Linked DNA regions of Tribolium castaneum. The protein of the gene in region 2 purifies or fractionates together with the protein of the main gene of each other region. This does not show direct contact. Links are inferred from orthologs where the notes say so. Each region holds a gene or a part of one and is shown on either strand. Other genes may lie near its edges.

Region 1 (4,465 bases), on a different chromosome or scaffold from region 2:
AAAAAAAACATGAATCCTTGCTCTATTTCGAGCACTCCGACTACGCCGTCGTGCTCGAAAAATACGCGTTCTAGTCGTAAAATGACGTGATGAACGTAGGGCAACAGTTAAAATGCTCTAACGAGTAGTGGAAATAAAAATCAATTTTTTTCCGAAGATTTTATTAGATTCTCAAATACACCCCGATTCCGTAACAGTAAAACCTCTACTGTTAGGAACCTTATCCAGCGCACAAAACCACAATTCTCGCCCACTTCGATGGGCCAAAACGTGTTTGGTTATATACAAAAGTCACTCTAGATTATATACACACTTCCAGACAAAGAAATTTGTAAGAAATGGATTTTGAAGTTGCGTCAATTGAAAGCAACCGATACAACAGTGAAGAAAAACCGAAACAGTTTCTTCAAGTACTTCCTCCAAGTCCTCCACAAGGCAGTCCAAGGTGAAGATTATCTCGGCCCTTCTCCACTCGACACTAAAGTAACAAATCGTCTTAACTGAAACAAAAAACTGATTTGTAATTTAAGGCTGACGAGAGCCGAGGCCGCGATTTCATGTGCCGCTGGTCGAGCGATAAGCGGACTTACGTGGCGGCTAAGCCCCTCCCAGGCGAGGGCACTCTGGTCTACATGGCCGTGTCGAAAGACCCGAGTCTTGGATGGGAAAAACAGGGAGAAACAATCTATGTTTAAACTCACCTCTAAGTAAAAATATACAATTGGAACAAAACTAGCGCCGCTTCCGGCCCCCGGCGGCTTTGCCCTTTCGGGGCCGGTTCGTGTTTTTCGGCTTCTTGCCGCCTCCAGACTTTCGCAGGCCTTTCTTGCGCCCAGTTCGGTTTTTCTCATCAGATCTCCTGGGAAAAAAAATATATGAATTTTTTGGACCACCGACTGAGTAAAACACTCACTGCGCTTGTTCGTCGTTTATTTGTCGGGCTACCGCTTTTTCAATATTTATCTTCGGTCGTTTGTTCAAAACCTCGTCTACGAGATTTAGGTTTTGGTTTTTCTCGTTTTGACCCGAAATTGGAGGTAATTTTCGTTTTCTCGTCGCTCCGGGAGTGATAGCAGCGACGCCTCTCGCCTCCTTCTCCTTGGGGAGCTTGTCTTGGAATTTTCCCAGACTTGCGGTTGACGATTTAGCCACTGTTACCGCCGCTTGCAACTAAAAATCAAACATTTTGATTTCGAAAACAAAAAGTTAATACTTTTTATGTTAAAGGTTTTAACAAAATTCCAAATTTTTTATTCGTATTTAACAAATAAAAACTAAATTGTTACTATAGACAGCTCACAATCAAAGGCAGATAACATTACATCCGGAATTCCCACAAGGCTCAATTTTGGGACCATTTCTATTTTTAATATACAGCTCAGAAATATCAGAATTCGTAAATTATGTAATTATTCAGATCATATGCAGGCATCCATTTAAATATTATAAAAACTATTCATCAAAACTTAATGAAATTTGGTATATGTTCGAAATTATGTAAATTCTATCGTCTCAGATGTGTATCAAAGTTCTGTCGTCATTTGTTCTGGGGAAACAAGGCTAACTTGATTTTTTTAATGCCAATATTATATTATTCTATTATTTTTTTGTTGTTTCTTTTGTTTGTTTTTTTCCATAAAAGTTTAATTTTTGGTTTTATACAAGTGAAAAATCGCTCATAACAGTATTTTAAAAGCTAGCTTAGTTTTACTTTTCCGGAAATCCAGAATTAAATTTTTGAATTTTTATTTTTTTTACCTTTTTAAGGTTCAGAAAAAAATTTGACAAAAACTCCGCCAATCTTTTTTGATGCTTTCCAACTTTAACTATGGCCTTATTATTTGTCACTCATGTTTAGATCTATAGTTTTTTCCAAAATTGTTTTTGCTTTTTGTTATTTTCTTCTTGCTTTATTTGCTATTATTTTTTTAGAGCAATTTTTGTCAATTTAATTTATTCATTTATTCATTTACTTCTTCGTTTCTTAAGGGAATTAAGTTCAATTTCGCCTCCCGAGTTGTATTTACGGTTCGAATAAAGACGGCTTATTGTTATATCATTATTATTAAAAAAGAAGCAACTACTTTAAACGTTTAATAAAACAACACAAATTCACGTATTTTTCAACTTGGTGCAACACTTAAATTTCCGGCCGTACACACGATAAAAATACAAAAACTCACGTCTTTTGCGGACGAAACCTCAGGGTTGGTGAGCCCGAACCTGGGCACTTTCACATTTTTCGCTTTGGCGACGTTGCGCAGCCTTTGCAGTTCATTCTTGGCGACTTTTTCGCTCTTAGCCTCGACTTTCTTGGCGAACTGGTCTTCCAAAGGGTCCGCATTTTGTGGCACTTCAATCAGCCAGTCCTTCTCCTTGAGGGCGGCGCTCCGTTTGAAACCATACAGCGGGATCCACTTTTGCAGCTGCTCGTCCCAAGACAACTTACTCTTCTTTTTCTTGACTATGCCCTTGGCTTTGGCGAACTGCTCCCACTTGGTCAGCGGCCTGGGCCTCGGCACGGGCTTGAAGCGCGGTAAACAAAACTTCTGCTTGGGCAACTTCGCGACAATTGCTTCGTCTATCCGCTCCGTGGGCAACTCCCAGATTTGGTTAAACAGCAACTGGGTGTTATCCCGAGTCAAATTCAGTAAATAATCGTTGGTGGAGCTCCTAAAATTGGGTCAGAAAAGCGTGCTCAGCGGACCCCAAAACTCACCTCAACGCGCCGGGATCGAGCGGGTTCAGGTCTTCGGCCAGCAAGGCGCCTAAATCGATGCTCACCAACTTGTTAACTTCCACTGATTTGTATTTCTCGGCCTCTTTGGCCGATTTTTCCAAAATTGTTTTAACAACATCCATGTTGTTAAAACCTGTCTGGGGATTCTAACCTCACTTGCGACAAAACGGTTACACGTGGAGCGAAAATCCCCAGATTCGGCTGGCGAACTGACACCTGTCGCTGACAAATGTCAACCAATTTCAAAATATTTTGCCAAAATCTGGGCGTTTCTTTGTAAAAATGTGATCGTGGTGGTGCTGAGTCATGCCACTCGCCGAACCTTTGCTTTTTCTGCTCAAGCTGGGCTACACCCTGCGTCTCAAGGTGCCCCTCTTTATCCTGTTTCTGTGCTTTTTGCTGGATATAAGGATGCAACTCAACGTCACAGTCCAGAGGATTGAGATCCCGAGGAACGCGGTCCCGGACCCAGACGAAGACATTTAATGTAAAAGAAATATTTTATTCATCAGACTCAATACACTAATAAAAATCAATTAAAAAACACTTTGCTGTAAATGCAAATGTAAATGGAATATCTCGCTACAATAATTTAACAAGGAATTAAAACAACGTACAAATTTGGCAGTTTAAATGCTGGTGTTTGTCCTCATTCGTAACAAAAGAAACACACTTCTAGAATTCCATCTGAAACCGCCACTTGATTAGAACGGGAAAAACCGCAACAAACAACTCACTTATACAGTTAATTACAGCTAGAGCTTTCGATTGTGACCTCTTGCAGGATTTCTGCAAGAGGCCGACTCTGGCCTTCCCTCGACGGCTGCAGACTCGCACACCCATGGCTCGTACTCAGCGAATTCTGGGGAATTACAAGCTGTCAGATTGGCCCAACCAACTGTGGGACCCTAACTAAGTCGTGCAACTATTTGCCCAACTGGGCATTTATTTATAAAACGTAATAAATGTTTAATTGCTTTCAATAAATGCCCAGTTTCTTCTAAAATCCCAACTACACAGACATACAGACGGCCGACTCCTTAGAAAAAAATATCCACTTTCCCACACCTGTCCACCGTTCTCCAATTTTTTCAAAAGGGCACACGTTTCGACACAAGAATTAAAATTCGCGCCATCTGGACGGAAATTAACTCAACCGAGCTTTTTAAGTTGGCCATCTGTGACTAGAAACCCCTAACACGAAATTAGTACTCCTATGTCCTACCTATTAGTAATTTTAATCTATTACGTGTCTATCTGCTATGACTAAAATCCTGCGGGAATTAGAACTAGACGATAGAAAAAAATTCATATGCCATTAGTGTAGACACACAAACAACACCACGTCCCGACTTACTGCGACATTGTGAACAAACGCTTTGCAGTGTTGCCAGTACGAAATGTCTCGCCTTGGTAGGTAGTACCACCCAAACAAAAAAAATTGAAACAAAAACTCAACCCCCACACTTAACTAACGCAATGAAATTACCTTGTGTAGCGTACTCTGCGGCGCCACTTTTAAGTGCACTTTTTCGGCGCATAACGCCTTCAATAAGTTAATCCCTTCCTGCCTGTTCCTCTCAAATCGGCACTCCCACGCATCAAACAGCCGATTATAATACCGAACTTCCATGAAATTCAAATACTTGTGCGTCTGCGAGGTGGGGAAAATCCTCTCGAAACGCCCCTTAACACACCACTCGTCTTCGGCTTGCGTCAACTTTC
Region 2 (4,354 bases):
TGTTTCTCCTCATCTTTGACAAACCAATCAGGCAAGTTGTCATCATTAAAAGCGTAACGATTCCAAGCGGCGTCAATTATGTCACGTTTTGTTTTTTTGCTGTTGATCATTAGCGTACCCAACGCCAATTCTTTCTCAGTTAATTTATGTTTACGTTTCTTGCCTACTTTTTGCCCCTCGGGGACAATCTCAAAACCGTCCTTCTTTACGTTATTTTTAGGGGCAAGTTTCTCAAAATCCTCGTATTCGGAATCATCTGAATCCGAACTGTAGTCACTATCCGACTCTGTGTTTTTCGCATCTTCTTCCTCTCCGATAATCTTGGCTCCTTTCTTCTTCATTTCACTCACCAGTCGGTCCAAATCAGCGTCTTCGTCTTTCTCGTCTATTAGATTCTTAAAAGCGTCTCTTTCAAACCACATTTCGGCTTTGTGCACTTTTTTCTCTTCCTTACTTCTGTGGTCCAAGTCCGTTATGAGAGGATGTTTTGGTTTCGTTTTCGATTTAGTTTTCTGTTCTTCCACATCGCTATTTTCGCTATCGCTTAAATCTAGACCTTCCTTAATTTTCCCATCTTCGTCCTCAGACTCGCTTTCCATTTCCAACTCAGAATCTGAATCTTTATAATACAATCCTGAACTACTCAAATGTTGCTCGTCCTTGTTATAACGCAAATATTTTGATTTGATTTCATCTTCTTCATTGTCTGATTGAGCAAGAGTATCAGGCGTTTGATCAATAATTTTCTTCATCTGTTTGGTGCTTGTTACTTGTTTTAGTTCAAACATGCCGTCACTTTCCATTGTGGGGCCACTATCACCTTTCAAGACCATCTTCAAGTTTAATTTTTCGTTCAGCTTTTTGCGCTCCTTTTGAGCTTTTTTCTTTTTTCGCTTCAATTCGCGCTGCTCTTCACTCTACAAATTATATTTTAATTAGTCACAAATTTTGTTAAATAGTGTGTTACTTCAAGTTCCAATATTTGTTGGTGGACGTCCTTCAAATCATCCTCGTCGTCACTTTTCTCCACAGTTTCTTCAACCTCTTCTTCAACAGGTTCATTTTTCTTCTCAGAAAACTCTTCACTCAATGCCTTCTTCCAAGCCAAGAGCTTCTTCAAATCTTTCCTTCCCAAAACTTTAATATCCTTGCAACATTCTTTAATTTCGTTTGTAGTTTTTTCGTGATTTGTTATTTCTTCAACGTCAAAAACGATCTACAAAAAAATCATAAAAGCAACCAAATTATGTTGATCCTCTAGTTGATCCTATGTTTTCAAAATTGAGTACTTCCCCGAATATTAACGACAATTAGCATTTTTCATTAGCCAAGAATACGGAGGACTAAACTTAGGGGATGAAATGGGGTACAAAATCGCAGGATTTTCTGAACCCAAAGAAACAGTACGGCAGAGAAAAAATGAGGGCGCTTTAAAGTAGTTTCACAAAAAGAACTTTTGTGCAACTCCATTTAGTAAATTTTTAGGAGTTGTATTGGCAGTGCTGGGCTGTGAGTCATCACTGTAAAGCCCGAATAATTAACAAAATTAAGAGGAAATAGTTTGAACAGATTTTGATAAATTAAATTAAACAAAAACAAATAACAAAAATAGAAAGTACAAAAAATAGTATATTAAGTGTAATATACGTAATAAAACGAGTGCGTTTTATAAGACTTAATTGTGACACTCATTCTATTGGAGTACTCCTTTGTTGTGCTCCAAAACGATTCGTGCTACAATAAAACGTCTTATAAAACTTGCATAATAATATACTATTATTGCGAGATTTCAATAATGCAGAAGCGCAATTATTTCTCAAAATCTCTTTAAGAAAAAGTCACAAATTTACCAAATTATACTTTTCCCGAGTGTTTAATCACATCTATGGACTAAAAGTGAAGTTTTTTTGGGCGTTTTTACCTCAGAAGCCCCTTCTAGGAGTTCGATCCCTGTAGGGTGTTTAATAAAATCTGATGCTTTAATCTTATGATACAAAGTCCAATCATTCTCGGGGTACCCCTCAGCTTTACTCTTCTTATTTTTCTCAGGATGGTAAATATTCAATTTCTCTTTAGGCTCAATTTCCAACTCCTCAAAAACATATTTCGGGTCCATAAACTTGGAGTCGATTTTATCAGGTGCGATGTAGTGTTGACAAACGACGAAAATTTCCGCCGATTCATTACGCGAAGCTTGTGGTTTGGTGGCATGCACTTTTTTAAAAAACTGCTTCAAAACCCAAATCAGCGAATGGTAATCCTTCGAACGAAACACTTTGGTTATAAACCAGCCCCCTTTCTTCAAAAACTCACTGGCCAGTTTCAAAGAGCTCAACGTCAGGCATGCCTGCTGATAGGCATCATGCAGCCAATTCTTGCCCACATTTGGGGCGCCATCGTGCAAAACAACGTCGGCTTTCCACGTCTGCAGCTCTTTCTTGAGCGAGACGCGGCATTTCTCGGTCGTAATGTCCTCAGTCAGCGAAATGCACCCAGGAATGGGCTTAATTGGGAACAAGTCAATCCCAATGATGACGCTCGAAACGGGCATGTTCTGCTTGGCCACCTGCATCCAGCCCCCGGGGGCGGCGCACAGGTCGATGCATACTCGCGACTTCTGCAAAAACTCGAACTTGCGGTTGAGTTGAATCAATTTGAAGGCTGCACGAGACCTAAAACCTGAAGGCGAAAGTGAGGTTATGGTGCCAAGTTTTGGGAAAACGTACCGGTTTCTTTGGCCAATTGATAGTACTTATCCTTGCGCTGTTTCCCAATTTTAGTTTTCTTTCCCATGTTGGCGCTTTTTTAATTCTGGAAAGCGAAAAAACTAATTTGTTTTCAGCAAACACACATGGCTTTTGACTTTTGACAGAATGTCATTCGGAATTTGTTGTCCTTGTCGGGCAAACGAAACACACATATGACTATCCTTTTTGCGTTATCAAAAAGCAATGCTACCAACTCACATGTTTTAATTTGCGGTTTTTTGGCATTTTTTCAAAATTTTTATCCAGTTGTTATTATTAAATGTTTCGCTGATAAAAGGGGAAAAATAGTTTTATCAACCAATACAAATTGCACTGCATGGCGTGTCATTTTGACCCATTTGTTTAATTTTGTTTTATACATAAGAAAAGCAAAGTATGGGTTGTTAGTGCATAATAGAGTTTTGTGAAATTGGAACTGCATTATCAAAATTTCCATTTATTAGCGGCCTCTAAATGTTTGCGTCACGTGACCCCTCCTTGTGCGTCAGCCAATGGGAGGCGTTCGCGATGGTCCGAGTTTAACTAGCGGCTAGGCCCCGCCGGTCTACAAATGTTCGCTCAGTCGAAATGTTGCGAGCGAGGTCGGAACAGTACGAACAGACCATAACGGATTTCCATTTCAGCTGGGCTGGTTAAGTCTAAAGAGTTTTCTGAGTATTTCAAAAATAATTACATTAACAATCGGCATTGATGGGCATATTGGAATAGTGGTTTTTATGGAAATATGTTGCGCGTGGCTGGGGCTTCGCCCCAGTTAACTAAAAGGAAACAAACCCCACGACCAATTAAACTCGAAAACGTGGAACTCGAAACGTGGAATAGTGTTTTTTTATGGAGCTAGGGTGGCGTACAGTTCATAAACATAAACACTATTCCACGTTTCGAGTTCCACGTTTTCGAGTTTAATTGGTCGTGGGGTTTGTTTCCTTTTAGTTAACTGGGGCGAAGCCCCAGCCACGCGCAACATATTTCCATAAAAACCACTATTCCAATATGCCCAGGGTGGTGAAACCTAAATGCACCAAGCCAAGTATAGGCGCCAAATTCAAAATCGACTGTAGTTCGGCTTGCTATCGCAGATGTCGCACACACGTATAGTCAATTTTAGCGAAGCTACCTATAATATCGGCAGAAATTAACAGTGGACCTGTGACAGTTGCCATTGTGTAAATCGCCATTTTGTGCTTGGTTTGTTTGGTGTTCGCCTTCGGCTTTGTTTTATGTGAAATTAGTACTGTTTTGTGGTTTTTTTCGTGTGTGTGCTTTTTTGAACTTTTTTATTGTGGGAATATAAATAATTTGATGGATCAATCATTAGTTTATAGTTATCGTATCGTGTATATTGACTAGTGATAATAAATTTTTATTACAAGTTTATTGTCTTTATGTATTCTCATATTTTATTTTTCGTATTCTTTGTAAATATTCAGCAACAATAGTTGTCTAACATCAGAAAGTGTTATTAGCAACTATTGTTGTGAATATTTACAAACAATACGAAAAATGCAATCAAACTTTAAAAGAAAAGTAACTACGGGCAATTCAAATCGCCCGCCGATAACGCTTAGTACGCGCTGGCAACAATA

Evidence for each region.
Region 1: the proteins of pre-rRNA 2'-O-ribose RNA methyltransferase FTSJ3 (region 2) and ribosome biogenesis regulatory protein homolog purify together in Homo sapiens (affinity purification with mass spectrometry; 3 studies listed by BioGRID and IntAct, counting the BioPlex papers as one, with this or other methods). This does not show direct contact. The link is inferred for Tribolium castaneum from reciprocal best matches to the Homo sapiens genes FTSJ3 and RRS1.

The regions. Positions count from the first base shown.
Region 1 is NC_087399.1:2,010,221-2,014,685, reverse strand, and holds ribosome biogenesis regulatory protein homolog, read right to left. Parts: upstream 3,089-4,465; 5' UTR 2,863-3,088; coding exon 2,720-2,862; intron 2,674-2,719; coding exon 2,184-2,673; intron 1,171-2,183; coding exon 914-1,170; intron 860-913; coding exon 733-859; 3' UTR 718-732; downstream 1-717. Other genes in the region: uncharacterized protein LOC103314109, read left to right, coding at 320-483, 531-695; tubulin monoglutamylase TTLL4, read right to left, coding at 3,496-3,602, 4,098-4,149, 4,230-4,465. UniProt on the Homo sapiens protein: Involved in ribosomal large subunit assembly. May regulate the localization of the 5S RNP/5S ribonucleoprotein particle to the nucleolus.
Region 2 is NC_087395.1:17,626,794-17,631,147, forward strand, and holds the start of pre-rRNA 2'-O-ribose RNA methyltransferase FTSJ3, read right to left. Parts: upstream 2,950-4,354; 5' UTR 2,794-2,949; coding exon 2,727-2,793; intron 2,680-2,726; coding exon 1,922-2,679; intron 1,217-1,921; coding exon 968-1,216; intron 918-967; coding exon 1-917.